Oryzias latipes: one gene and its partners. The protein of the gene in region 1 binds, or shares a complex with, the protein of each later gene. Links are inferred from orthologs where the notes say so. Each region holds a gene or a part of one and is shown on either strand. Other genes may lie near its edges. The genes, in order: snrpg, lsm2, gpkow, srrm1, lsm4, usp39 and snw1.

Region 1 (3,977 bases):
TTTTAAATTGCATTCATTTGTTTTAATTGCAAAATGGGGCCTTTTTGTTCAGAATATTTACCTTTTAAGATGTTAAACACTGACAACATAAAAAAACACTCAGCTTTTTGTTGACAGCCACCAAATAAAAGTATATAGTTTTAAACTTTAGAAAAATTGGTAACCCTTTGTTTTAGTGTCAAGCAGCTAATGTTTTTAATTTTAAAATACCTTAAATTTTTTTCCTTTCAACGTGGAAACTTTTAAACTTGATAGAGCTCAAGAATAAACAAACTGAATCCAACTTTTTAATATTTTATGAACAAATACTTGCCTGCTAGTTTATAACAAGTTTGCCAGCTCATGAATGGAAATTACGCATATCTTAAATATTCAGCTGACTTTAGGTCTATCAAATTATTAAAATAGTTCAGCATTTATGTCTTCATCACCAGCATTCCCAACATTGTTTAGCCATTATAGCTTTTTAACAGCTAAGCTATAAAAAAAGCTTTCGAATTCCTTAAGATAAGACTAACCCTAACATTTAAGATATTCTTTTTTTGTTTAGCAGCTCATCCTCCATTACAAAAACACTAAATTCTTGCTGCATCTACAGGAAAGAACACATACAGTAACATTTCGTAAAACCAAACAAATGCACGGATAAAAAGAAAAATAGTTTATTAACAAACAAACATCTCAAAACCAACAGACTTTCATTGTGAATGAACTACAATGGAATGAGAAAACAGGAGGCGCCGCTGTGCTCTGCTCATACTCGCTCCAAAGCCTCCAACATGATGATGCTGTTTCCTCGGATGACCTTCGGGAAGACAAAAGGAAAACAGATCAGATCTTTTCACGTTTACACATTTATTTTTACACAATTGTGTGTTGAATAAGAGAAATGTTCTAGTTTGGGAAAAACTACTAAACCCTTTCCTGAGGCTGTCACATCAGGAAAAACCACGAACCTGCCAACGTTTGGTTTCACAGATATTCACTGGAACAGGCAATTGTTATTTGTTCTTCCGTAAAGACAGGTCAGTTTTGTTTCAGATAAACTAATTAGACATCTTTGGAAAAGCTGGAGTATTGGGGGGGGGGGGGGGGGGGGGGGGGGGCAGTATAATATATTTAAGAGAGATTTTCAGTAGGCATTGAGGCTCCCCTGTTGGTCTGGATGTATTTATTTTAAGTAGTAATGAACTTTTGGCTACACATAAAAATGTGGAAATGTTTTCCAGTAACCCTGCTTTATTTGCAGCTAGTCACGTGGATCAGGTGGATTTCATCAAGCAGAATCTGCAGCTTCCCGATCTAGAAAACCAGTAGCAACTAGAATACAGATGCCTGGAAAACAAACGAGGAAGTCTGTCTTATCAATATAATGTTATATTTACAAGAGAAAGTGGATAGAATAGGTTCTTTGACTAAAGAATTTTGAATAAACTTCGAAACAAAATTTGTTTTTGTAGAAAAAATTAAAAATTAGTTGCCGGAAATGATCAAAACCACTAAATGACCAACTGGGATTGCTTTAATTTATTTACTTTGACATGTTCTTGTGGCATTTTTCTGATGAGGACATATATTTAAAAAAAATATGCTTAAAATTGCTTTTCTGCGTATTTCTTTATTCAAAATGTAGTGAATTAAAAGGAGTTAAAAAAAAAGTAATTAAAACAAAAAAAGTGTATTTGTGAGGTAGAAAATTTTCTTTATCAAAAAGATGATTTTTAGAACATTTACATTTTTGTTACTAACTAGCAGACCCCTAACATATTTTATTGGTTCATATTTCTTTATAGGATTGTCTGGTTTGTTAGGAAAACAGTTGTGCATGTTTTTATAAATCTATGTAGACAGCACTCAAATTGGTTCAAATTGTCAAAAGATGGAATTGCTAATAAAGATAAAAATAAATAAAGAGTATGATCTTTAATTGAACCTATTCGTCCTGCTATTACGGGTGGGGTAAAACATTGAATTAAACTATTCCCTCATGCTTCACAGTTCTGCTCGGACACTGACCACCATCCCGATGGTGTTCTGCTGTCCCCCGGGGCCCATCTCCAGACAGTCGTCCATCACCAGGTTCATGAAGGGGTCGAACCCTCGCAGGATGCCCTGGACGTGTCTGCCTCCATTCAGCTTCACTGAAGAAAACAAAAAGAGCAAACTGATGAACATGAAGGCTGCTAGCTTAGCTAAAAGCGAATTTAATTTCACAAGAAAAAGCCGGCGAATGAATAGAAATATAGTGTAATTTTGAAATATGTATTAAATAATGAAACGAGAGTTTTAACTCACGGGAAAGCTTTTTGTCCATGAATCTGAAAGACAAAAACATTATTTAGATTTAGCTTCAATTCCTAGCTGTTCCGGCTAACGGTGGCTAACATGGAAACATACTACAATCTCGCGAAAAAGACCGAAGCTATCAGGCCTATCATCTTTCAAAAACTTGCAAACTTACTTCTTTAGCTCTGGTGGATGCGCTTTGCTCATGGTGTCTGTATTTTAACGAAACAAAGTCGTGTTTCAATTCACAAAACCGCGTAGGAAACGCGTGTGGACCGGGAGACCGGAAGTAAAACCCTGTGACCTTTGCTGTGCTGCGCCCTCGTGCGGCTGGGAGGAGTAATCTGGTTTAAAAAGGGATCAGCCAAAGGCAAATAATACTATTTGCAGTTAGAAAATGACCAAAACAACTATAAAAATACATGCACATGAAGTGTGTGATATATTTTATATATATATATATATATATATATATATATATATATATATATATATATATATATATATATATATATATATATATATATATAGAAAACCTTAAAAAACTCATTGTATTAATAGATTTTTATTTGTGCAAAAGCACAGCTGATTAGTTTTATTTTTTTTTGGTTGAACATCTGAGCTGTAATGATCAAAAGCAAAAATAAAATCAAACATACATTTAAAAAATGCGACAGTTTGTTTTACTTTTTCCTTTACAAAGGAAGATTGTGAAAAATTCCCAAAACATTTTTCAAACTTTAAATCATCACAGTGACACTGAAAAGAGCCGCTGAAAATAACTTTAGAGAAACAAAACTTTGAGGCGGCTGCTTTTGTTTGCATAGAAAGGAGATACAATCCACGTTTCCTGCTATCAATAAAGACATCAAAAACGTTTTTTATGAAGCAAAGGTTTATAGGAATTCATGCTAGACCCTCAGAAAAATGGAAATCTCATAAATTCGCACTCACTAAAAAAACAAATGGCTGAGATTCAACCCAAAATCTACCAAAGAGAACAGCCAGCCATTCAAGAGGATGTTAGCATCCATTACTTCATATTTCCTCACTAACATGACCTGAGCTACCTTAACTTTAAGAGGTTATGGGAACATTTTGAAACTATGATAAATTTGATAAACTATGATTTTTACTTTTACAAGCAATTTTAAAGAAAAAAGAAAAACAGCTTCATTCATCCTCAGTAGGATGTTGTTAGCAAGTTACCATGGTGATGTGCTCATGGAAAGCTGTCCTGACAAAAAATAAAATGTAAGAATTAATAATTATATATTTGCTGATTATTTGGAAGAAAACAGCACAATTTGACAAAACACATTCAGTGTATTAAAGACATAAATGATGATGTTAATCAGTGCTTTCCCTCTCCAGGAAGTTTAAGTTTTGATGGGAAAATAGCTTTTGAATCTGCCAGGCGTTGATTCAAATTGTAACAACTTTATTAACAAACAGAAAGCAGAAGGCATCGCACTTTGATGAGTAAACAAAAAATCAAATGTTCTCTTCAACCCTGAAGATGATAAAGCAAAAAAAAAAAGGCAGCTGTTGGACACATTCTGTTTCCCATCAGGCTTTGCTGGCCTGCTGTGCCAGCGCCTCCGACTCTCGGTCCTCCTCCACCCGGACCCGCAGGTGCTCCTGACAGTGTTGGAGGAAGCACTCCAGCACGGAGAAGCCCTGCTGGCAGG
Region 2 (4,263 bases), on another chromosome or scaffold:
CCTGTGTGTGCTCGGATGATATTAACAGTTTCGTTGTGACTTCAAGGGTCAAGTGACAACATTTATTCATTCTGTAAAGTCTTTTTAGAATAGGGTTAGTTTTACATGATAGTCTATAGAGAAACTCTGTTTTTGCTTTTAATGATCCACTTATCTACCTATCCATCCTCAGAACCCACTGAATCCTTTAACTGAGCAACTGTTGAGTAAAGTTAGTGGACCACTACGTCACTGTGCAGCCCTATATTTGATGAAAATGAATTAAGTTAACAGTTGCAGAAAGACTCACTCTATCAAGTATGTATCTTGTAATAAAAGAATTTCCAAAACATAGGAAAATTCATAAAAGGAGTAAATGGTCCAGAGTTATCTCACCTGTTTGTTTTTTATCCTGAACTAGAGTCCACTGAGACACCGTCCACTCCACAGTTTAAGCACATTTAGTGGAATTTACCCGTGTCAACAACAGAAGACCCAGGAGCAACGTCTTAACTTTCTCAAAAACAAAACAAAAGAACTTTTGAATTAATAATTATTTTAAAGATAAAACTGTGTACATTCAGTTGTGATTCGTTGCTATAGAGTTTTCTGTTTCAGATCAAGTTCGTAAACCATGATGAGTAAAGAAGCTGAAAAGATTTGTTAAAACATCTGAGTGCTCGACACTGCCCCCGTGTGGTCTTTCATCAGAATACAGAAAGAACTCTTGAAACAAAACGGTCACAATTGTGTTCATTTTCTGATTTTTATTGCATCAAACTGTAGATAAAATCAGAAAGACATTGGAGAAGAAACAGAATAAAACTCCAAATGGCACTGGAGACCAAAGGTTCTTTAAATTAGAAGACGTAAACAATAAATATATCCAGTTTTCATACAGAAAACTTTCAGCATTAAAGCATGAAAAGCATGCTTTCCTTTGACCAGTATAGAAAAACACAATTTCTTTACAAAGATTAATATCGTTATTAATATAGTTTAGGTTCTATGTTTTTATTACGACCCTACGTTTTTTTTTTGTTTTTTTTTGGTGGCCCTAAAACTCCGTCGTAATTTATAAAAGAACATTGAGGAACAAACTTAATCCTGATTAAAAACTCTTGCAGCAAATTATAGACATTTCAGGTTTGTGTTTGTGTGTGTTTTTAAATCACAGTAAAGGTCTGCATACTACAAAAAAATAAAGTTTTGAGGTACAAAAAGTATCACAAACATGTCTGGTAGCTAGACTAGAAGCTAGACTAAATCTGAATTAGACTTTTGATATTTTATTCAATTTTTTAAGAGATGGCTCATAATGTTTTTTATGTCTTTTTTTTTTAAAGAAATATGAGTGAAAGCCTAAATTTAAATCTCGGTCAATGAAAAACACCTGATAGTTCCTTAATAAACATTGAACGACAGTGTGTCTCCCTCTAGTGGCGCAAAGTGGTACTCACTCACCGCTGAAACACGGCGCAGGCTGATACGTCATCAACAGCAGCCAAACCTTCTGTAGAACACCACAGCCAAAATGGTAAGGCGTAAATCGTCATTTTAAAATGTACTTTTTTAGTTTAAGTCAAACATTTTAGGTTTCTGAGTGTCAGAATTCTTCTGAATTTCTTTTGTTTTGTCGCTGAGTTTGCTCGCAGTGTGCTGAGCCGCTTTGTCGGCCCATCATCGTGCTAACATCGTCTTTTTTTTAAAAAAAATCTACAGCTTTTCTACTCGTTTTTCAAGTCTTTGGTTGGGAAGGACGTGGTGGTGGAGCTGAAAAACGACCTCAGGTTGGTTTTGATAACTCAACATACCAATTTGTTTGGTAATGTTTCTTTTCAAAGCGCCGTTTGTGGTTAAAAATGGCGCGTGGTTCTGCTAGCGCTGTTTGAATGGGTGCAGTGAAGAGCTACTTAGCATTGACAGAGACATTGACTCTGTCAGAGTTGCTGTCTTTCCTTCTAGCTGGTGTTTTGCATCTCATGCTGGTCACAGTGGCGTGGGGTTGCCATCCCTTCCTTCCAGCATTTGTTGCAAATCTGGCTCAATAGGTTGGTGCCAGCAGCGTGAAAAATGTACTTTTTTTCCTGTTAGTTTTCTGAGCTAACTCTTGGTCTGCAAACGTGCTGCAAATTCATTTTAGACCTTTTTCCCGAAGAAGTAGGGTCAATTGCGGGGGTGGGGGTGGGGGGTCAATCAAACTAGCTGCATCTCATGATGAAAGCTCAAAAGTAAATATTAAAATTAGCTTACAGTTAGTTGTTGGGCATTCTTTAAAGACGTAACTCATAATTCTTAGCTCCTCTCACAGATGGACGATACTTAGACATGTGGTACTTTTTTTAAAAACCCATCCAAATGAAAAAAGTGGTTTTGATGCCATAAGCTCCCTGCTCTGCTCCATTCTGATGCATCCACTTGCAGGCAAATAGATTTGTCCGTCTTTGTTTTCCTGGTCTGAGCTGGCACAAATAACTGTACGGCTGGATTGCTCCAATATTACTTTTTTTTTCTTTTTTGTTGCACACCTAATGTTGGGTTAAGGGGGGGGGGTTGTAAGTTAGCAAAGGATGATGGGAAGATGGGGCAGGCTTGCTCTGCACCAACGATCTCAGACAAATTTCTAGTGAACAACTGCTGCTCTGCAGAAACTGTCCTAGAAAACGACGCAGGTTTTTTTTTTATTTTTGGCTAAAAACAGCACATTTAAAGACCACTAGGAGCGCTTTAAAAAGATAAGAGTGGGATATAAGAAAAAACAGACTTTCCTGCAGCATTGACAATAGAAATAAATTTACTGAACAAAAACTTTGACTTGTTCAATACAAATTTGCATATTCCCAGAAAGTCATTTAACATCAAAAGTTCACTGTTGCATTGAAAGCTTCATTTTCTCTTTTTCCCCCCAGTATCTGTGGGACGCTTCATTCTGTTGATCAGGTTAGAAAATAATTAATTCTTTACTTTTTTTAATTAATCAATGTATTGGTTTGCAATTTAAAAATGTTGTTCTTGTCATCATCTAGTACCTGAACATCAAGTTGACCGACATCAGTGTGACAGACCCAGAGAAGTATCCACACATGGCAAGTCCTCATCTATGGTTTACTTTTTAGTCTAAAGTTTGCATAGAGGCCTCTAAAACATACAGTTGTTTTTATTCTTTTATTTCCTTCTGTCAGTATAACAAACATTTTTAAAGTTGTCTGCTGGGTGAGAAATGTAGAAGCACACCTTTGGAAGTTCAGTTTCAGTGTAGGGCAGAGCAGACAGCAGTTCTTCAGGTAAACAGCAAAGATTTAGAAACATTTTTCAGAGTTTCTAAACTACAATTTTTCAGAAAAACATTTAAAAATATGCAGAAGTTCTACACTCACTGCCCACTTTATTAGGCGCACCTTGCTAGTACTGGGTTGGACCCCATTTTGCCTTCAGAACTGCCTTAATCCTTGGTGGCAGAGATTCAACAAAGTTCTGGAAACATTTCTCAGAGAGTTTGGTCCATATTGACATGACAGCATCACACGGTTGCTGCAGATTTGTCGGCTGCACATCCATGATGCCAATCTCCCGTTCCACCACATCCCAAAGGTGATCTATTGGGTTGAGATCTGGTGACTGTGGAGACCATCGAGTCCAGAGAACTCATTATTAATAGATGATTTCAGCTTTGCTGCGTTCAAAATCACTTAAATCACCTTTTTTCCTCATTCTGATGCTCGGGTTGAACAGCAGCAGATCATCTTGACCATGTCTAAATGCATTGATTTGCTGTCATGTGATTGGCTGGTTGGAAATTTGTGATAACGAGCAGATGGACAGGTGTGCCTAATAAAGTGGCAGGTGAGTGTAAATGTGGTTATTTGACCCGTGAGAGTGGTGGGAAAAAGAGAAGTGTTAGCTTCTGAATCCCCTTGGATGTGTTCATTCTCTTCCTCTGGAAGGCGCCCTGCCTGACTCCGTGTCTCACGTGTTTCACGCTCTCCAGCTGTCTGTGAAAAACTGTTTCATCCGCGGCTCGGTGGTCCGGTACGTTCAGCTGCCGGCAGACGAGGTGGACACTCAGCTGCTTCAGGACGCCGCTCGGAAGGAAGCCATGCAGCAGAAGCAGTGACCGGGGCTGCGGGTTCGGGGAGGGGGGCTTTAAGTCATGGGTTCTTTATAGTTCAGTTTGAAGAAGACCGCTGTGAACCGCCTCCACACACTGCGCCGGTCGATGGAGAATTGAGTGCATTCCTGATGTTGGCGATGGGCCAACTGCAGGTCTGTGGGTTTATGGACATT
Region 3 (2,794 bases), about 16 Mb from region 1:
AAGGAAGCAAATAAAAGAAAGAACACATTGTCTGATCCTTTTGTGCTTTATTCTGCCCACATGAATAAAGGAAAAGTCTTGGAACAATAGTTCTGCGTTTGACCATTTATTTAGGCGATTAGGAGAAAAATCCATGCAGCTGAGAAAGGACACTCACTGATGTCTTTGCTGTATTTGTCGTATTCTTTTCGTCCGACCAGTCTCACGCCGTGTTGGCTGAGTGTCACAGTCTTGCCCCCGACGGCGAGCTTCACAACCACTCGAGCGTTGTCTGCATCGACGCCTTCAATCTGCCGCGTCAGGGAAAGTCAGAGCGGTTGGTGTAAAGGAAAAACATAATTGCTTAAGGGTGGCAGTGACGTGGAATGCTGAACTCCACCTTGCCATAGAGATCTTTGTGTGCTCCAGACTCCACCAGCACACAACCTCCAGGACCCATCACTAGCTCCTCCTCCTTTCCCGGCTCGTCTCCGGGTTTCGGCGGACGCTGATTCCGGTTGGGTTCCAGATCTTTTATGGCCGAGCGATCCGCTCCGAGGCCCAGGCCTTTCGGGCGGAGCTGGTGTTCGATTGGCTTCACGTCTCTGAAGCAGACAGAGAAAATCAGCCTTCGATCAACAACAGACTGAAGGTTAAACAGATGAAAAACTGAATCAAAAACCTGAGGTTTGATGACAAAATTAAACTCAACTATATGATGCAGCAAGCCGAAGATTTGATCATGTTAAAACTTGCTTTCTGTTGTCTTTCTTATTGTAATTTCATACGTTGCATCTGATATCCAATTTATTACAGAAGGCAAAAAGTGTATCAACAATTTAGTAGTTTTTTTCTTCCTTCTTCTCATTTTGCTAAAAAGCTTCAGACATTCCAAAAAGGTCAAAGACATTTCTTGGGCCCGCTGGGAAAGTCAAAATGTTATCAAGTCAAGGAAAAATATCGTATCACTTTGCATGAAGAAAAGTGTCTAACTCTAACTAGAAGCTGCTGAGGAGCTGAGCAGAAACGGATGCTTGAATGCTGAAGCCCAGAAACGTACAGCAGCTCACTTTTCCTCCTTCCACAAAGTTCTGCTTTGAAACCTCCGTGTTCTCCGTCTCCTCCCCAGCTCCGGCGGGCGTGAGGAGCGACTCAATGAAAACACCCGAAATCCCAAACAATGAGAGGAAGTGACGACCCAATTAACAAATAATGTCTCCTCCGGCTATCTTTGCAAACATCTAACACCACATTGGTCCAGCTTAACAGCTTACGGGGAAGCTCGGCCGACCTACTTATTTTTAGCACACGGCTTAAAGTTTGCATTGGTGCAAACGCGTGGGGATGTGTAACCTGCTGAGCCAGCAAGATGTCAAAATATGATGAAGATAAGGTTCTCCGAGCAGTCACCAAAACGATCATTTTAAGAGAATTCTGAGTTAAAACAACATTCTGCATGCGTCAAATGTTTCAAAGCATTTCTCTGTTCAAATAGTTCAAGACAGACGCGCTACAGGCAGACTAACCACGGGTAAAATGATATGAGCATCTCAATAAATCAACAAAGAGATCTTTTTTTTCTTGAAATAACTCGTTTTCCAATCAAATGTATGCATACATTTTAATTAATTGTATTTCTACTTAAAAATTGTAAGTGTTTTTTTCTTTTTACATGTATGAAGGCTGGTTCGATGGGCTAGTTAGGTGCAGGACTGGGACATGTTCGATTCCCAGAGGGAGCGATGAGCTTTATCCAGTGCGAGTCCTTGGGTAAAAGCACTTTTTTGGGTTAATGCCAAAAATATGTTTAAAAAGCAATTTAACCTGCTGTTTGTGCATTAAACAACATTTCAGATATTTTGGAGATCTTTTTGTGTTTCTTTGTACTAGAGTTGGTGATGGCACCGTTGTTACGGAGAAGAGTTCACATTGGCACTTCATGTCATCAATGTCACTGACCCCTGGTCTAGATTATGGAATTTTGCTGGATAATGAGGAAAAACTGGGAGAACAGGACTTCCTTAAACACTAGGAAGGATGTGATGTTCTCCATTGATCTATAAAAGCTTTGAACTGAGAAAGAATGAGAACATGTGGTATTCAAATCACTTTTAGTCATAAATTAAGATAAAATAATCTACGAATGACATCATTCCGAAAGTCTATGTTAGATCAGGGGGTAAAGCCAGCCGTCACTTACTGTTTAAAGGTGCGCCCAATGCCTTCACTTTTCTTCCAACCCATCCCTTTGAGCATGGCCAGTCCGTAAGCCTCCACTGGAACGCTTTCATAGTCTGCCTCTGTAGACTTAAAAACAACAAAGCTGGAAATGTTTACCAAAATAACGAGCAAGGAAGATCTAAATGGGAGGTTTGTGTACTGCTCAAGGTTTAAAGATGGCGGCTGATGGAGGGAGGCAGGCTGTAACGTCCGTGTCACTCAGCCTTTTGGTTTCGGGGACTCGACGCCGGCTGACTGAAGCCGCGCCGATCTCTGCAGCGCTCCCACTCATCGCTGTCCCCACTCAAGGCTTTCCTCACAGATTGACTGGGAGATCTCTCTCATTCAGGAGGCCGCATTAAAAAAGAGCTGCGGGGCTCATGACCCCCATGATCTGCCGCTCACACGATGGAGCAAGACATGGGATGACAGTGAAGAGACGTGCCAGGCCTCTGATTAAAGGAAGCAGAAGGAGATCTGACTGGCTGCCTGCGTGTATCTGGGTGGGGGCAGATAAAGCAGCGTTGCCAGTCTCCCACAGAGGCCTGCCCGGACAAAGTCATCTGTAGTCTTGCACGCCACGCGAATGCTACAT
Region 4 (3,666 bases), on another chromosome or scaffold:
TATGTTTCAACAATTTGCATTGATGTAAAAATACATTAAAAAAATCAAACTAAACATACGCAAGTTTAAAATTAGCCCAACTGCATGTGATTTTAAAGACAGACCTTTGTTTAAAGGCAAAAACAGCATTGTAATTTGCAATTTTTAACCAAATCGTAGTGCAAAAAAGTTTTTGTTCTCTAAGCAGCACATTCTGTGTGTTGACATTTCAATAATTATATTTAACTTTTGTTTAAAGGTAGACGTTCAGGATACATCTTAAGTAGGTCAAGTAGTAGTAATTGAATGTTTATGCCTGTTTTAATGCGAGTCTCTATGCAGTCTTTGTAAAGTTTTTCTTAGATATAATTCCGAAGTGGGTGGACTTGCCCAAAAAAATCCCAGAAATGTAAGTGTGTAGGTGGGAGGGTCGGGCTGTTAGAATTTAAAGGGGACTTTAGTGTTTTTTTTAAAGAATGAATACAGTAGTAGAACTAGTTTTCAATGTTCTCACTTTTTCATTTATTTGAAATAAAAATAATCTATTTTTTGTGTTGCTGTGTACTCATTATTGCTTGTTCGTCTCTTACAATTTAGAATGATATAACATTAAGCTCAAGGTGGTTGAGTCTCAAGCTGTAGGGAGGCGGAAGCAAGCCAAGGGAGCTCCGTGCCCACTGGTTCCACGGGACTCACTGAAGACACCGGAACTGTATTTGCAGTGTTGGGTTTTAATGCACTCTGTATTATGGTTAATTTGTCGAACCCCTAAAGTGTAGCCTGGGGGGGAGACTGGGAAATGGGTTGGATAGCGTTACTGGGAGTGGAAAGTAGCAAAGTAGCACTTACAAAATAAATTACACATTTTTGTATTTGAGTTTCTGTGCTACGTTAACATATTTAAAACTAAAAAAGATTGCATGGAGTTTATATAATTGTATGAATTTATCATTTTTAACTGATTTATTTGTATTGGTTAGTAGTAAATCCAGCTTTGGACTGAGATATTTGTAAAATGATAGTCACTGTTAAACATGTTTTGATATGATTACATTAATCCAGGTTTAGTCTAGTGAGGGATAGAAGGCAGGACTTCCCATTTGTGGGATCCTGCCTCCTTTTAATATTTTGTTTTCAGATATTTCAACAGCTGTATTTTTTTTCTCTTTTCCCCTTTTCATGTCTGTGTGTTGCAGCATCCAGACAGCAAGATGATGCAGATCAACCTGACAGGGTTCCTGAATGGAAAGAATGCCCGAGAGTTCATGAAAGACCTGTGGCCCCTGCTGTTGAGCGCCCAAGAAAACATCGCCGGCATCCCCTCTGCCTTCCTGGAGCAAAAGAAGGAGGAAATCAGACAGAGACAGGTGCGCTTCCTCATCACCCCTATGTCACATTATTGATCTACAGCAACGTATTTCAGGGTTAAGTTGTAGTCGGTGATTATTTAGCTGAATGCAATGCTTCCCAGCTGTATGATCAGTGCTTTTTGGTGTTTCTCAGATTGAACAGGAGAAGATTGCTTCATTGAGGAAGGTGGATGAAGATAAGAAGGAAAAGGAAAACCGGGAGAGAGCTCAATCAAGGAGTCCAAGACGGTTAGAATTATCATCATTGTTTATGTTGACTGGTTTAAACTTCTGTGAATTTTTTGGGACCTTGTCTGACAAGTCTTTAACAGATGCATTTTAGAACTATATTTATAAATTTACTTCCCTTTAAATAAGTTTTTATGACATTGTATTCCCTGATGCATGTGTTCACAACCATGTGTTTTGATTAGAATTTACTTAACCCCTTGATTCTTGAATGTATTTCCAGCTTTTAAAAAAATGTTTTTGCTTTCAATTAAATGCTAAATTTAGCTAATTTTGGACCCAAAGATTTGATGATTCATGATTTGATGTACATTTGCTTTAATTGTGAAGCTATATCTTATGTTTCTTTGGATTGTCTCACAAAACCATACACTGTTCTGGCCTAAGTCTTACTTTAATACACTGAAACACTTTCTTTTTTTTTTTTTGTTCAGGCGGAAGACAAGATCTCCATCACCACGTCGAAGGTCACCAGTGAAAAGAGAAAGGAAACGCAGTCCATCACGGTCCCCCAGGCGTAAGCCTAGTCCAGTCGGCGGCAGCTCCCCCCCCCCTCTTATGCAGCTGCCCACTAAACCTTCAGAGCAGTCTTTGGAGCCAGATTCATCAGGAAAAGCCGCACAACAACAAGTCGTTCAAGAAGCTTCTTCTGCAGGGTTGGTGGTGTTTTGTTTTTGACAGATTGATTTGATTCATATCTAAAATGGTGGAGAATTAACACTTGAACATTTTTTTATTGCAGAGATACAGCTGTAGAGGCCGCTAAAGCGAGCTCAGCAACGGAGGTTAAAGAAACATCTCCGGAGAAACCTCATAAAAAAGCGGACAGACCACGGTCACGTGAAAGGGAGAGGGATCCGAGGAGAGAAAGGCCTCACCACCGCTCCCGGTCTCACTCCCATTCCCGTAGGCGCCGCTCCCGTTCAAGGTAACGTGGGACATCATTTGTTGAATTAGTGTGAAAAAATTAGGCTGCAAAAGGCTTATTTCTCTTTTCTTTTTCAGATCTTACTCTCCACGTAGAAGACAAAGTCCTAGAAGGAGGATGTCCCCTCGTCGAAGGAGTCCCCCTAGACGGGGCCCCGCTGGCCCCAGACATCGACACAGGCGTTCCCCTGTGCGAAGGTCGGATAGCAGAGATGCTCACCTATGATTTTGTTATACTGTTACAAAACCTTTCATCCAGAGTTTGAGTCTGAACTTCAGTTAATGCTCCCAGAAATATCTCACTAAAGAAACGCATATATTTTGACTTAATCAAAAAGGGAATAAATGCATAAATTTAACTTTTATCGTGTTAATGTGACACAAAATCTATATACCGTAGGTTTCTGTGGGTTTTTTTGTTGTTCCAAATTGCCTTAAAAGTTGTATTAAAATAAACATTAAAAAAAATTACCTTTGGTCTGTAGGAGGCGCTCTCGTTCTGCTTCGTCCTCTGGCAGCAGCTCCTCTGGTTTACGTTCTCCTAAAAAACCCCTGAAAAGAACGTCGACCACCCCACCCCGGAAACAGCGTCCCCCCACATCCTTGAGCCCCGTAGGAAAGGACAAACGCTCGCCTTCTCCACGAATGAGAAGGGGCCAGGGCTCTGCTTCCCCGCCGAGATCCTCAGGTAGGATGTATACTCAAGTCCAATGAGAGAACAAATGTATCGTCTTATCTTGCCTTAAAGCAACACCTGCCCCCCCCCCCCCCCCCCCCCCCCCCCCCCCCCCCAAGAAAAAGTTTTTTTACAGTCCATATTTCTTTGTGACGAAAATATTTAACACATAAATATTCTACAAGCTCGAAATCTAGACAGACTATTTTAAACTTACAGAACTCTCATTTTCAGGTTTCAAGCAAAAACCAGAAGGAAGAGAATCTCCGTCTGAAAATGTTAAGATTGGACCTTCTGACGGCTCCGAGTCAGGTCAGAGCTGAGGCTGTTAAAGAAATGTTCTTGTTTCACACCTTTGGATCAAAAATGACAATGCTACACTTTGGAACCATATTAGATAAAATACACAATTATCATGAAGCATAAATGTAGATTGGAATTCTTTACTAGTGGAGTTTACAGATTAACTGAGTTGAACTTTGTTTA
Region 5 (4,431 bases), on another chromosome or scaffold:
TTAGAATAATAAATTCCTAAACAAATAAAGATGATGTTTCACCAGATGTGTTTAAAAGCTTTAACAGAGGGATTTTTTACTTATTTTAAGCTGATCTAAGTCTCATTAAGGCAAATCATGACAGAACAAATGCAGAAGTTGCTTCCTCTCACCTCGGCCGGCTCCGCCTCTTCCTTTACCCTGCTGCTTATTCTGCTGGGCACCTCCACGTCCACGACCCTTAGAAACCACCTCATCCTTCACCATGTCAATAATCTCATCTGGAATTCGCAGATACTTGATGGTACTTCCCCTGATGTAGCACTCTGGCATCCTCCAAAACTTATCACCATCCTGTGGGAAAAAGACCAAACGATGAGTGTAACCAGTATACTTCAAAGGGTCTATGCTAAATCCCTTTTTTGAACTTCCCGGTGTATTATAAAGAAACCTCAAACCAGTATTGACCCATTCACGCATTTCTGAGAATTCCTCTAAAAACCTGTGCTCCAGGAACCAGCCACACCTAACCCACAAAAACAAGCGGGTTCTCACGAGCTGATGTAGATAAGTGAGAACAGCCCCTTCCAGGAAGAGTCTGCGCTGCCAGCCCCGCCCCCAGGCTAAAACACACACTCCATGAAGCTAGTGGTGTTTGGCAAAACTCTCTTTACATGCTCAATATGCACATTCATCTTTACGAAAGTTTGAATGTTGTTTGTTTCGTGGGCGAGACACAGACATGTTGTTGATGCTGGCTATAGGTTGACATCATGGAAGTGCCGGTGCCTCAGATCCAGTCGTCTTGCTTCCAGGTTGGAAAATAACTCAGGAAAATAACTAATATTCATTCATCATTTTTTAATTCATCTTCTAAACCCGCTTTGTCCCTTTTGGGGTCACTGGGCTGCCGGGGCCTATCCCAGCTACTCATGGGTGAAGGCAGGGGGCTTCCTGGACAGGACACCAGTCTGTCACAGGTCCACAAATCACTCACCCATGCACACTTGCATTCACACTTATGGACAATTTAAGGTAACCAATTAACCTACGAAGGTGGGAGTCCCCGGAGAAAACCCACGTATGCACGGGGAGAACATGCAAACTCCACACAGACAGGTTCTTTTTCAGGTCCCCCAGCCAAGTCTTGGACCTGGCTGGGCTTGCAGTTGGCTGGGGGACCAACAGCAACCAAGTCCCCAAAACTTGGCTGGGGGATCTTGCGCTAACCACTGCGCCACGTAACTAATATTTAATTTAAAAAATCTTTCTTTTGTGGGCCAAAGGTAATATATATATGGATATTCTTTACCATGAATGGTTTAGGAATAGCATGGTACAGGGCCTTTAACAATAATCAGTCCTTTTTCTTCTAACAAAAAAAATTAGCGTTGAGGTTTTTGTTCCAACATGTATCAAAGGATGTTTTACTAAAACCATTGCTTCATTATACATTAGTCTTTATATTTTAAAGGCTCACTTCAATTATCTTTTGATCTATTCCCAGTATTTTGATTTTGTTTTTTTTCATTATGCAGCTTTAAGCCAAAATGAAAAACTTGTCTTGTTTTCTAGGACAGTTTCTGCAGAGTGACAGAAGTTCATTAGAAATATACCTAAAAAAGCCTGCCGCATTTTCCAAGGTCCCTTTGTTTCCACTCTCCTGCTAGCTTACACACCCTCATACCCCCAATCTAACACCAAGTGCAAGAAAATTGGTGGGGAATGTTGAAGCTATACAGACGTACAGTTTAAAGCCAGATGCCAGCTCAGACGAGGAAAACCAAGACGTAAATGGATCTAATTGCCTACAAACTTTCTTTATATATGTCCGTCATTATGAGAAAAATGCCACAAAACATGTTAAAAACCAAACCAAACAAATACACTATTTTAATTGGGGTGGGTCTTTAAACGGCTAAGGTAGTCAGAATGAAAACTGAAGGAAACAGGTAAGCGACTGTTAAATTTAAGCTAATTTTTTTTATTTAAGGTGTGCAGTTTATGGATCGTTCTCCACTGAGAACATGAGAGCAAATCTGTTACCCTGGATGTGCAGATGACTTCTCTCAAGTTGATGTTCATCCAGTTGTCACAGCTAACCAGATGACCGTTGTAGGTTTCTCCATTCTTCAGTTCAACCAGCTGAAAAAAATCAAAGTTCATTGAAAAAAAGGTCAGCTGGTGATTATGGTTTTCTAAAAGGTTCTTTCTTTATTCAAAAAGAAATGCACAAAAATTATTGTTTAAAGAAAAACATGCAAACAATCTCAATAACAAAACAAAAAACCTGATCTTAAAACCACAAGTAACTGAATAAAATGGTTTAACCAGTAATCACCAGATAAGGAATAGAAGGAGGAAAGAAAAGCAATTATTTCTTACCATAGGATGGTTCTGGGCCGTCTTCAAAAGGGACAAGGGAAGCTGCGAAATAGTAGAAATGGGTCCGATTTATGATCTCTATGATATATTAAAATAATGCATTCTAAAAGGAATATTGATTCAGAAATGAAGAACACGTCTGAATGTATTTCTGTGTCGGCGGAGAAACTTAAGCTCTGTTCCGAACTATAATGATTCGTTTGTGTTTAGTTTAGTACTAAACGTGTATCTGAAATGGTGACCCCCCCCCCTTATATATTTATATAGAAAATAATTTTAAAAAGAACCACTTGTATAGTCAGCGTTCCACAAGCAGAAAACAATTTAGCATTGGTTGCTAGCGTAGCTTAGCCTTGATTTGCGATGTTTAAACCAGTTACATGGGATTTTTGAAGCCAAAGAACAGGTCAGTATTTTTATATAGTGTGTGATTTTTACAAAATAGTCCATTTGTAAGTAATAACTTACCATTCTGGTAGGTTATGTTTGTGCTGCCTTAGATTAGCAACACGATTTTTACTCGCAGACTCTTCTTCGTTTTCTACGTACTCGGTGCCACGTCTTATTAAAACATGACTGCCCCCTAGCGCAAAACATGCGCAAACACAGGAGCATTTTCTTTTGTTCTTTTACTGTGACGAAATTCAAAAATAAATACAGAGGACCAAGTGTAACATCTATCTATCAAACACAGGAGCATTTTCTTTTGTTCTTTTACTGTGACGAAATTCAAAAATAAATACAGAGGACCAAGTGTAACATCTATCTATCTATCTATCTATCTATCTATCTATCTATCTATCTATCTATCTATCTATCTATCTATCTATCTATCTATCTATCTATCTATCTATCTATCTATCTATCTATCTATCTATCTATCTATCTATCTATCTATCTATCTATCTATCTATCTATCTATCTATCTATCTATCTATCTATCTATCTATCTATCTATCTATCTATCTATCTATCTATCTATCTATCTATCTATCTATCCATCCATCTATCTATCCATCCATCCATCCATCCATCCATCCATCCATCCATCCATCCATCCATCCATCCATCCATCCATCCATCTATCTATCTATCTATCTATCTATCTATCTATCTATCTATCTATCTATCTATCTATCTATCTATCTATCTATCTATCTATCTATCTATCTATCTATCTATCTATCTATCTATCTATCTATCTATCTATCTATCTATCTATCTATCTATACACAAACATTTCCTTCAAAGCATAAAACCGCTTAATAATATCTTATAGCAAAATCCTGTGTCTCAAATTTCAGATTGTACCATTGCTGATTAGTTCGCATTAGGTATGAGTGTCTAGACTAAACATAATACAGTAATTTTTTCTTCATTTTCAGTGAAATGCATTTTTATTCCTTAAATTAGTACAGAATAAAATTAAAAAAAATAATGATGATAAAATGAGGATAATAGAGAAGAAAGAGAAGAATAATATTGAATAGATCACTGCCACAACTCCTTGTATTATAAAAAAGGAAAAGCTGGAATTTTGTTGCGTGTACATGTGACACAGTGACAATAAAATAAGTCTATTCTATTCTATTCTGTTCTATTCTATTTTATGATTAAGGTCTGTCTGGTTTTGGTAAAGTCTAAATAAATGTGACAGTGGTTTAAAAAATAATAATTTTTTTCATTACCAAATGGATTCATGTAATTGAATTACGTGAATCCTTATATAATTTGACCAACACGTTCATATTTTTGCTGGTGCAATTTTTGCAACAACTAATTTATAGCTTGGTACTTAATTAAAGTCTTATTTTATGATAAAACACAGGCAAGACAATTGGTTGTATTAAAATAGGATATTTGTGTAGTTTTTATTTATTTATTTTTTCTTTTTGTTTTTTCCCTAAGTTGACATTTCTCAGCCACCGTAGCCGTCATTCCGTTGATGGCGTCATTACGTTGGGTTTGACGCAGCGTGCAGGATGAGAGAGAACGGCAGGTTTCTTTTGATTGTGGGAGAAGGAGTCGTCAGCTGTGAGGGTCTCCGGCTGTTTAAGAGGATCTGTT
Region 6 (4,219 bases), on another chromosome or scaffold:
TGATTTATCTGTTGGCTTGATTTTATATTTTTTTGGCTGGCATAACTTGCTATGTCATATAATTTTAAAATAAAAGCTAAACAGAGACTTACTAAATCTGGATGTGGTAGTTTCTTGGAGAAAATCCTCATGGAGCCTTGAAAGACTTTTGTAAGAATTGCTGTGTGAAAACAAAGAGCAGACCAGTTAAATTGAAGGACATTGCATGCAGACAACCAGCACTGGCTCTAAAATAGACTCCTTACATTGGAATAAAAGAGAAAATTACACATCAAATAAATGAATTCAGAAATTCAACAGATTTACTATAAACTAGGAGTGAATTTCTGACTCACATGGCTTCTTCTTTGTGCCTCCAAGAGCGCCATGCATGGCGTTTAGGAACCATGTCATGAAGTCCACAGCATCACCTGCAAACCAGAAAACATTGAGCAAACTCTACAAACTTATCCAGTGAGTTAAAGATTGTGGGGCAAAAAAGTATTTGGCAGCCACTGACTCTGCAAGTTGTCCCGCTCAAAAAGCTGAGTTTGGTCTGTAATGTTTACCATAGATATACTTCAACTGAGAGATAAAATGTCCAATAAATTATCCAGGAAATCACATTGTCAGATTTTTAGAGAATGTATTTGTATAATAGTGCAGAAAATAAGAATTTGGTCAACAACAAAAGTTCACCTCAATAGTTTGTAATGTAACCATGATTATCTATGACAAAGGTCAAACATAGGTCTTAAGCAGGTTTACAAACACTATAGCTATTATTCTGGACCATTCTTCCATGCAGAGCTGTAATGTTTTGAGGCTTTTGCTGAGAAACATACTTTAAACTCCCTCCACAGATTCTCTTTGATGCCAGAGTTATGTTTTTGGGATCAGTCATGTTGGAAGATCCAGCCATGTTTCATCTTTAGTGCTCTCATTGATGGAATGAGGTTTTTGCCCAAAATCTCAGCCTACATGGCCCTATTTATGTCAGCACTCCACAGGCCACAAAATAGTTACCTTGTTTGGTGATTTGGAAGTTTTTCTTGCTGCACAGGACTACAGCCTGCAGCATCTCGTGGGGCGACACGTGGGCCTTGAAGTTTCTCGGATTCCAAAGTTTGCGCATCAGCTCCCCAAACCGCTGCACCAGCAGAAACATGATGTCCCCTGGTGGCCTCCGGATGTCTCTGTAGTTCTCCTCCTCAAGGAAGTAGTTTCGCAAAGGTGGGACGTTGGAAAAAGCCTAAAAACAAAAGTACAATATGAAACCCCCTGTTATTTAAGTTGATGCCACAGCCTCAAAAATCAACATCAGCGGGGTTTCATACCTGTAGTACAGCATTGGCATAGTCGTTGGCTTTAATGTTATTAAGCCCTACAATCCCTGGCAGGTAGGTTGTACCATCGTAGGCTCTGTACAGTTTACCATGTTTGTCCAGACCCTCAATGTGCTGCTTGGTGAAAGTCGGCTTCAGCACATACTAAAGAAAAAAAGAGCAAGATTACCAACACAAAGCAAGAGCTTACAAAAAATAAAAAAAGGAGGGGTAAAAATTACTTAACATAAAACATTAAAAATTTAAAAAAGAAATGTAAAAAAAAAAGACGTATTAAAATTACAGCCAAAACTCTAAAAAGTATACTTTAAGACATTGCTAAATAACTTATTTTTAGATACTAGTACTGATACTTATGTGCAAAATATAGTAAATAAAATATACTATGCAATCAAATACATTGGCCTTGTATAAAATATATAAATATCGAACACATTTTTATGTACTCTGGGTTCACAAGTTAAAACTATTTTTAAACACAGAATATGTTAATGAAAACTATTGAAGTGTTACACTGACAAACAAGGAATGTGAGCAAAAGAATCTATCAATCATATCTAGAAGAAAAACAAAAAACTTTGTTTAATTTTAACATGTAACTGTTTACTTTTCCCCCCAGAGCAATTACCTTTTCATTTATACATTGAAAAACAGCAGATTTACTGCATTACTTACTGTGATGTCTTCTAGCGATGAGTCAATGATCTCATAGTTGTCTGGCAGACAGTAAAACTTGAGTGTGTGCAAGTTGAGGAACACATGGTGAGAAAACTGGACACTGTGAGTGTAGGCATGAGACTTCTGACCTCTGCCTGCAACAAGGAATGCAAACGTAAAGATGTTTAGTGTCATCTAAAAAGGAAAATAACAATGTGCGTTTGATGTGCTAATATGTCTACCTTGAAAGTATTTCCCACAAATAAGACAGGCATAAACATTAATGTGAGACAGAGAAATGGAGCAGAGCTTCTCAAAGTCAAAATCCAGAACACTCCTGCAAGACGAGAAGAAACTGAATTACAAGAAGAATGCTAACTAGCTTTAGCATACATTTTCAAACATTTCCTTGCCTGTTTATGGTGTCCAGGTAAGGACAATGGCGGCTTCTTCGGTCTTCAACCACACGTCCTCGCCTAAATTTGACTGTCACTGCAAAAGAGAGCAAATCACGATAAAGCTCAGTAGACGTAAACGGAATTCATTTTTACGAGAACAACTAACTACTAGCAATCAAAACATGCTTGCTAGCAAGCTAAGATTTTTCTATTAATCGATCTCTGTTTTAAAATAAACAGGTTTTACATATATTTTTATATGCTGATTGTCTTTGTCTTACATGTGAAACCATCAGTTTATTGGTGTAGAATGGAACTGACACAATATAAACTTTTTATGCTAGAAAATGCTCTTCTGGCTGGCTAACAAAACGAAAAACGGACGTAAGAGACAAATCAGCATACCTTCGTCTTCGTTATCCTCGTCGTCTTCTATTTCCTCCCTTTCACGCTTTAAAGACATTCTTGTAACTATAAGTTAGCAAACGGTTTGCTAACGAAACAAAAATTAACAAAACTTGAAGGTTTACGAGAGGAAATGAATGGATATTATTCAGCTCCTCGAAACTCGCGGTGGTTGTACGTCGGTGGTAATGGCGTGGGAAACCAAAACGTAACCCGGAGTTTAAAAAATAAATGTTTACCCCCATGTAAACTCTAAGTAATATATTTTATTTATTTGTATACTTCAGTTTCTTTTTTTGTCACAGAAATATAACCAAAATAGTTTATATTTTAGTTCAATGTGCATTGTAGGACTTACACGCAATAAATTAATTTGTAGAAACTCCGGGAACGCTACGGTTGGACATCCATTTATACATCGTTAGCTGTCTAGCTTTTTGTTAGTATTTTGCTTGTTCTTCTTTAGCTGTGTTTTCTTTCTAGAGTGTTTGCTGAAATGGATCTTATAAGAGATGAAGGAGTGCATGAGCTGAAGTACAAACCGGGGGGCCGTCTGGACATGAGCCACGGTTTCCTTCATCATATTCGGAGGAACCAGATTGCCAGGTGATTTCCTTTTTGCTGTTAGCCGAGTTAGCATACTTACTTGGGATGTCAAATGTCAATCTGTAGCTGCTGTCATTTCATGATTGATGTGAAATGATTTTTTTAAAAATGGCAGACAGTGAAATAACATTTTTTTAAAGTACCTAAAAGGCTTAAAGTCAAGTTTATTTTTACTTTAAAGCAGTAGAAGCAAAACCCTATTGGACTGACTGAAATTTTAAAAGGAGCATTAAGTTATTCGGTTTATGTTTTATTAGTGTAATTTATTATTTAAAAGTGGATTATTATATAAACTTAGGTTTGGTGTGTAAAACTTTTAAAGTTCCTCCTTGATAAATTACATACGCTGAGTTGGGCTGTTTTACAGCATCTGCTCTCTGTCTGGTCTTAAAAAAAGCTGCTACAATAATGTATGATAAGTATTTTGATTTACGTCCAAACAAAAAAGTTTGTTTTAATTCCCACACTCTCACTCTTTATTTAATCATTTAAAACGGATTTTTAACATGTTGATTTTATTTAGGCAACTTTGAAAGATGAACTATAAAGCTAAAAGAACAGCAATAATAATGTTGCTTTGTTGTGCGGCTCTTTAAATTGCTTTGATGTATGAAAAACAAAGCTGTTTTGCCTTAAAATAATAAAATTTTAAAAAAAGTATTATCCTCCAATGTGTAAACAGACCTAGGAACATTTTTAAGTTCATGGCCATGACCAAGATGCTCTGTGTTTTATTCAACTGTGCAACTTGCTATGTTTTTAAGAAATAATCAGAAAATATTTCAATTTCTTTATAAGAGATGACTATGATAAAGAAGTGAAGCAAGC
Region 7 (4,455 bases), on another chromosome or scaffold:
CACAGCAGACATTACACAACAGTTCCTTCAGGACCTTGATGACATTTTTGTGATTGCTGAGGCACAAAATGCCTAAAGCTGTGATATTATATAATAATAGTTCTCCACCAAAAGCTGTAGGAGGAGAAATATTTGAAAAGTTGTTTATTGAAGGGGATTTTATTTAACCCCATGAAGGGTAAATCAACATCTCCATATACTCTCTACACAACTTTCAGTCGTTTTCTGCAAACGTCAGGTGGAAAGGTTCTCGTCAATCATCGACTCGCTGGTGCTTCAACGCAACGTTGAAGGAAACTTCCAGCTTCAATATTTGCAAAATGTTGTGATAGACCGACTGTTCAATACTTCCTTTTGTTGTTTGATATAGTTCCAGAAGTAAGCATGTTCGATTAGACAAGAGATGTTTATGCTTCAGCCTCTACGCTTGATTGGTGGAGAAAGTGTTTAAAATAAGAGCAGCTGGCAAAAGTAATTGGGCAAAAACGTCGCAAGAATTGGTTGAATTCATGTGAACTGGTGTGATTGCAAAATCCAAGAGGATCTGATGGAACAACAAAGAAGTCCTCGATCTAAAATAGAAGTACTGTTTATGATTCAGGTAAATTGCTACCTGATATATTGTGCAGGAGCGAGTTTGTCGGCGGCCCGGACAGGCATGGCTGCAGCAATCTTTTGCGACACCTGCTTTTGTAGAGCGGCCCGAGTCTTCTCAGTCAACTGCAAAGAGCATCCATCCCCAACCATGAGAAACTACACATGCTTACAGTAATTAAAAACAATAAGTAAGGGCACGCTGAAAGACAATTTCACCAAATCGGATGAATGAATCCTGAATGTCTGCACGAGCCCGAGCAGCAAATTACCTCTTCTACAGCCTCCTCATCCGGCTTCTGAAGGCCTGAAGCGTCTTCATTAAGAACTTCTTTTGGGAGCAGATCAGTGTACTTGCTGTAAATCACCTACAAAAATCAAGAAGAAAATTATAGAAATAATCTCACTCAAAATTTACCAATATGGCAAAACATGCAGACTCATAGAATAGGATAGATTGTGTAAAGCTGCGTTTACACTAAATGCCATTTGCGCATTAGGAGTGTCCAGTTTTAATGTTAGCTTAACGTAAAGAAGCAATCAGATTTGATTTTGGAGCTGCACACCAGTCTGGCAGCCGCGCGCTTTTTTGGCTGTTGCGGTGCGTCAAGAGTTCAAAAATATGAACTTCGGCAAACAAGATGCGCCGCGTCAACCAATCAGGGACTCCTCTTCGGACCGGGATGCGTTGAAGATGTTATAAGTGGATCAAGACACACAAAAAAAGGTCCTGAATGCAGAACAGAAAGTCGTCAAACTGGGTTTCCCTTTCAGGAGCAGATGTGGGAGTCTCTGGATGATCTCATTGATCAAGACATGGAGACGTGCCTATCGACATTTTTGTAGAGCTCTTCAAAGTAGAAAAACGTGATATCTCAACATCATCCCTGTCTGCAGCAATGAGGCTAAAACCGTTTGGCGGTAGCTCCTCCCACATGCGTCTGGAGTGTCGTGTATGAACACCAATAGAAATGTAAGGATCAAACATGGTTTTTACAAAAAACAAAACACTATAGTGTGCATTTTTTTTAAATGACAACCAAACCAAGCTGTATTACCAAAGTTAAGATTAGGTCCCACATTTCTGTGGAGATTCTGTCATCCAGAACATCGGTTCTTCAGCTGGACTTTTAGAGGTCAATTTAGAATCTGTCAAGTCATATAATGAACCTCTCATGTTAGTTTGATAAAGTTCATCGTGTCTTGTATTATTAACTGACTTGTTGGTTCTTTTTTATGTGAAAAAATACAAATAAAACACAGCCGTGTCTGATAGGAATAGAACCAAGAAGTCAGAACCTCTCATGTATTTGTGGACACTAAGAGCAAGAATAGGGTTTTAAAGCTCCTCACTGACTGCCAGAAAGAGGAAAAGCTCAAGTACCTTATCCTTAGCCTGTCCTTGTCTGGCAATGGCATCATATTTGATTTTCCCTTCTGCGTCCACTTGAACTGCCAGGGCGTTAGAGGTCTTCTTCTTCCTGCCCATCTCCAGAGGAAACTGGGCCACGTGAATCTCTGGAAAAGCCCCGCCATCTCCGAAGTCCTAGGAACACCCAGAATGTTTTGTAGAAATGCGAAACTAGGCAGTGAACCAATGTGTAATCCATTGAAGTGCACCTCAAATGCACGCGGAACCCAGCCTTTTCTGTGTCCGTAAGGAGGGGGTTCTTTACGGGACGCAACCAGCGCAGTGGAATAGGATTTCTGGGTCCGAATCCGCTCTTCTGCTTCCAGCTGGTCCTGAGACAGCTGGGTCGGTGCCGGTAAATAGCTGTGCAAAACAGGTCCACATAATGCAGTTTAAAGACAACTTAGCAAGTCGCTGTAAACGCGGATCAGCGTGAAACGACGTCAAAGTAGCAGGAACAAAAACTGCAAACCTGAAACGTTAATGCAGGTAAAGAGGTTTATTTAACACGATATCAAATACATGTGTTTAAGTAATAGATTAAACAAACAAGCTAACTTCAGAAACGGTCGTTTGAGGGTACAAGCTAATGCTAACCCCGTCTCACTAGTTAGCACTAGCTAGCATTAGCTAACATCATAAACACAGAAAAGAGCGAAACGTTTAAAGTTTAACTAAATATTTAACGTTTAATATTAAACCAAATAAATGTATAACAAACACAGACAGAAACTCCGATCGCATTTTGTGCCTTATTCGCCAAAAGGCCTCACTTAGAGACTTACCTCGTCAGAGACATTTTCCTTTCTTCCTGAACTATGAAGTGAGCATGCGCAAGAACAGGCCGTAAGCGAAAAAGAGAAGAAGGTTGCCAGGTTTGACAATTCTAAGCTCTAATACATATCAAACCATGTCCAGTTCGATAAAAACAAAATAAAATAAAAGTACATACTCGTTTTACAACATTTTATTTGTTATGTTAACTTGTTAAGTTAATTACATAATAAAAGCCAATGCACACAAAAAACAGGCTTTCACCCACCCAATGAAAAAAACACGAAACTTTATACATACACTTGTGCTTCCCACATTTTTTTCTAATTATTAAAAAACCCTATATGTTGTATTGGCCAATCATCTATTCATCTATAAAATAAAGTTATTAAATATTTAAAATAATTGAAATAACACAGCCTTTATATTTTCTATGCATACAAATTTGGACTTGCTTTACTTCTGACGGCCGCTTATCCAAATTCCTTTAAAAATAAATTACACCCTGTACCAAATAAGATCTTCTGGCTGCATCATAACTTATAAACTATAAGAACTTTGTCTCTGAACAGCAACTACACAGTGTTGTGGCGCAGAGGATCAGAAAAAGAGCTTTAAGGCTTATTTGAAAAAAACAAAACAAAAAACACTCAGACAGTACACTACAACTCTTATTATTATTTTGTTCCAAACTTCACATTTATAATTTCTTCAAATCATTCCCTTTTTTTTTTTAAACCTTAGAGCCACAATGGATGGACATGTGGCTCCATAGCCTCAGGTTGCAGATCCCTGCCCTGGACTCAGCAGGCCAGGTTCCCAATGAAGAAACACGGGAGTCAAAGGTAAAGTTAAGAAGTTAAAGCAACATTTAAATTACACAAAAAACAACAATAGAAAAATAATAATTTTATAAAAAAACAAGGATGACAGAATAAAAGAATGATATGCTTGAATAAAAAAAATGCATAAATGTTTTTATAAATTACATAAGGATACTTCAGATACATATTTTGTTACTTCAAAAGAGGATTTTTTTTTGGTGGATGGAAACTTCCTCCATTTCCTTTGGATTGTTTTCATATTTAATAAAAAGTATCATTCATATTCAGGAAGAGACTCAGACTGCCAGAGAACTTTTGCTGAAACAGAAGGAAATCCCTTAGGATCTAATAGAAAACAGGTAGCCACCTTATTAAGTCCACTCATGGATAAGTGATTTCATATCCTGCTTTCATGCAGATGTTGCGAGTCTAAATCCTTTTTCTGTCAATCTTAAAGCCTAAATGTATATTAAAGCCTGTGATCTGTCAATAAGGTTTTTCTAAGATATCTAGCAGTTTGCACTGCTGTCGTGCAGAGACACGAATCCTCAAAATCAATGAAATTCTTTGCCTTATTTTTATTTCCCACCAGCGAATGTTGTCTCTTGATTTCATTAAGTTTGTTCCTCTTCATTTTGGATCCCATATTTATCAGGATTTTGTTCTCTTTGGTATAACTTGAAATTATAAACAAATGCGATCAGGAAACAATGGGGTTGATTTACACTTTTGCACAGGTATCCCTGAAATTTAGCAGAAAAGTTTGAACATTTTTTTCTGAAATTAGGGATCAGGGTTACCTCGAAACCAACAATTTCAAATCCTGACACAAAATCCCGCCGAATTTAATCC

What was found.
Region 2: snrpg (region 1) and lsm2 share a complex: the UniProt entries of both Homo sapiens proteins name them as parts of the U4/U6-U5 tri-snRNP complex. The link is inferred for Oryzias latipes from reciprocal best matches to the Homo sapiens genes SNRPG and LSM2.
Region 3: snrpg (region 1) and gpkow share a complex: the UniProt entries of both Homo sapiens proteins name them as parts of the minor spliceosome. The link is inferred for Oryzias latipes from reciprocal best matches to the Homo sapiens genes SNRPG and GPKOW.
Region 4: snrpg (region 1) and srrm1 share a complex: the UniProt entries of both Homo sapiens proteins name them as parts of the minor spliceosome. The link is inferred for Oryzias latipes from reciprocal best matches to the Homo sapiens genes SNRPG and SRRM1.
Region 5: snrpg (region 1) and lsm4 share a complex: the UniProt entries of both Homo sapiens proteins name them as parts of the U4/U6-U5 tri-snRNP complex. The link is inferred for Oryzias latipes from reciprocal best matches to the Homo sapiens genes SNRPG and LSM4.
Region 6: snrpg (region 1) and usp39 share a complex: the UniProt entries of both Homo sapiens proteins name them as parts of the U4/U6-U5 tri-snRNP complex. The link is inferred for Oryzias latipes from reciprocal best matches to the Homo sapiens genes SNRPG and USP39.
Region 7: snrpg (region 1) and snw1 share a complex: the UniProt entries of both Homo sapiens proteins name them as parts of the minor spliceosome. The link is inferred for Oryzias latipes from reciprocal best matches to the Homo sapiens genes SNRPG and SNW1.

Annotation. Positions count from the first base shown.
Region 1 is NC_019865.2:4,866,622-4,870,598, forward strand, and holds snrpg (small nuclear ribonucleoprotein G), read right to left. Parts: upstream 2,608-3,977; 5' UTR 2,494-2,607; coding exon 2,462-2,493; intron 2,319-2,461; coding exon 2,296-2,318; intron 2,142-2,295; coding exon 2,017-2,141; intron 806-2,016; coding exon 755-805; 3' UTR 647-754; downstream 1-646. Other genes in the region: zinc finger protein Xfin, read right to left, coding at 3,856-3,977. UniProt on the Homo sapiens protein: Plays a role in pre-mRNA splicing as a core component of the spliceosomal U1, U2, U4 and U5 small nuclear ribonucleoproteins (snRNPs), the building blocks of the spliceosome.
Region 2 is NC_019862.2:27,136,599-27,140,861, forward strand, and holds the start of lsm2 (U6 snRNA-associated Sm-like protein LSm2), read left to right. Parts: upstream 1-1,395; 5' UTR 1,396-1,513; coding exon 1,514-1,516; intron 1,517-1,701; coding exon 1,702-1,769; intron 1,770-2,888; coding exon 2,889-2,919; intron 2,920-3,005; coding exon 3,006-3,065; intron 3,066-3,967; coding exon 3,968-4,093; 3' UTR 4,094-4,263. UniProt on the Homo sapiens protein: Plays a role in pre-mRNA splicing as component of the U4/U6-U5 tri-snRNP complex that is involved in spliceosome assembly, and as component of the precatalytic spliceosome (spliceosome B complex).
Region 3 is NC_019865.2:21,312,230-21,315,023, reverse strand, and holds part of gpkow (G-patch domain and KOW motifs-containing protein), read right to left. Parts: intron 2,287-2,794; coding exon 2,180-2,286; intron 585-2,179; coding exon 380-584; intron 291-379; coding exon 158-290; intron 1-157. UniProt on the Homo sapiens protein: RNA-binding protein involved in pre-mRNA splicing. As a component of the minor spliceosome, involved in the splicing of U12-type introns in pre-mRNAs.
Region 4 is NC_019880.2:16,881,406-16,885,071, forward strand, and holds part of srrm1 (serine/arginine repetitive matrix protein 1), read left to right. Parts: intron 1-1,175; coding exon 1,176-1,346; intron 1,347-1,482; coding exon 1,483-1,577; intron 1,578-2,011; coding exon 2,012-2,233; intron 2,234-2,319; coding exon 2,320-2,505; intron 2,506-2,582; coding exon 2,583-2,702; intron 2,703-2,989; coding exon 2,990-3,192; intron 3,193-3,414; coding exon 3,415-3,492; intron 3,493-3,666. UniProt on the Homo sapiens protein: Part of pre- and post-splicing multiprotein mRNP complexes. As a component of the minor spliceosome, involved in the splicing of U12-type introns in pre-mRNAs. Involved in numerous pre-mRNA processing events.
Region 5 is NC_019862.2:13,834,346-13,838,776, forward strand, and holds the start of lsm4 (U6 snRNA-associated Sm-like protein LSm4), read right to left. Parts: upstream 2,956-4,431; 5' UTR 2,836-2,955; coding exon 2,833-2,835; intron 2,407-2,832; coding exon 2,365-2,406; intron 2,125-2,364; coding exon 2,026-2,124; intron 334-2,025; coding exon 153-333; intron 1-152. UniProt on the Homo sapiens protein: Plays a role in pre-mRNA splicing as component of the U4/U6-U5 tri-snRNP complex that is involved in spliceosome assembly, and as component of the precatalytic spliceosome (spliceosome B complex).
Region 6 is NC_019867.2:12,332,965-12,337,183, reverse strand, and holds the start of usp39 (U4/U6.U5 tri-snRNP-associated protein 2), read right to left. Parts: upstream 2,959-4,219; 5' UTR 2,844-2,958; coding exon 2,786-2,843; intron 2,475-2,785; coding exon 2,396-2,474; intron 2,320-2,395; coding exon 2,225-2,319; intron 2,138-2,224; coding exon 2,001-2,137; intron 1,470-2,000; coding exon 1,317-1,469; intron 1,232-1,316; coding exon 1,006-1,231; intron 411-1,005; coding exon 336-410; intron 161-335; coding exon 93-160; intron 1-92. Other genes in the region: c9h2orf68 (UPF0561 protein C2orf68 homolog), read left to right, coding at 3,282-3,391, 4,190-4,219.
Region 7 is NC_019882.2:3,678,691-3,683,145, forward strand, and holds the start of snw1 (SNW domain-containing protein 1), read right to left. Parts: upstream 2,918-4,455; 5' UTR 2,805-2,917; coding exon 2,791-2,804; intron 2,369-2,790; coding exon 2,215-2,368; intron 2,141-2,214; coding exon 1,979-2,140; intron 963-1,978; coding exon 867-962; intron 721-866; coding exon 614-720; intron 1-613. UniProt on the Homo sapiens protein: Involved in pre-mRNA splicing as component of the spliceosome. As a component of the minor spliceosome, involved in the splicing of U12-type introns in pre-mRNAs.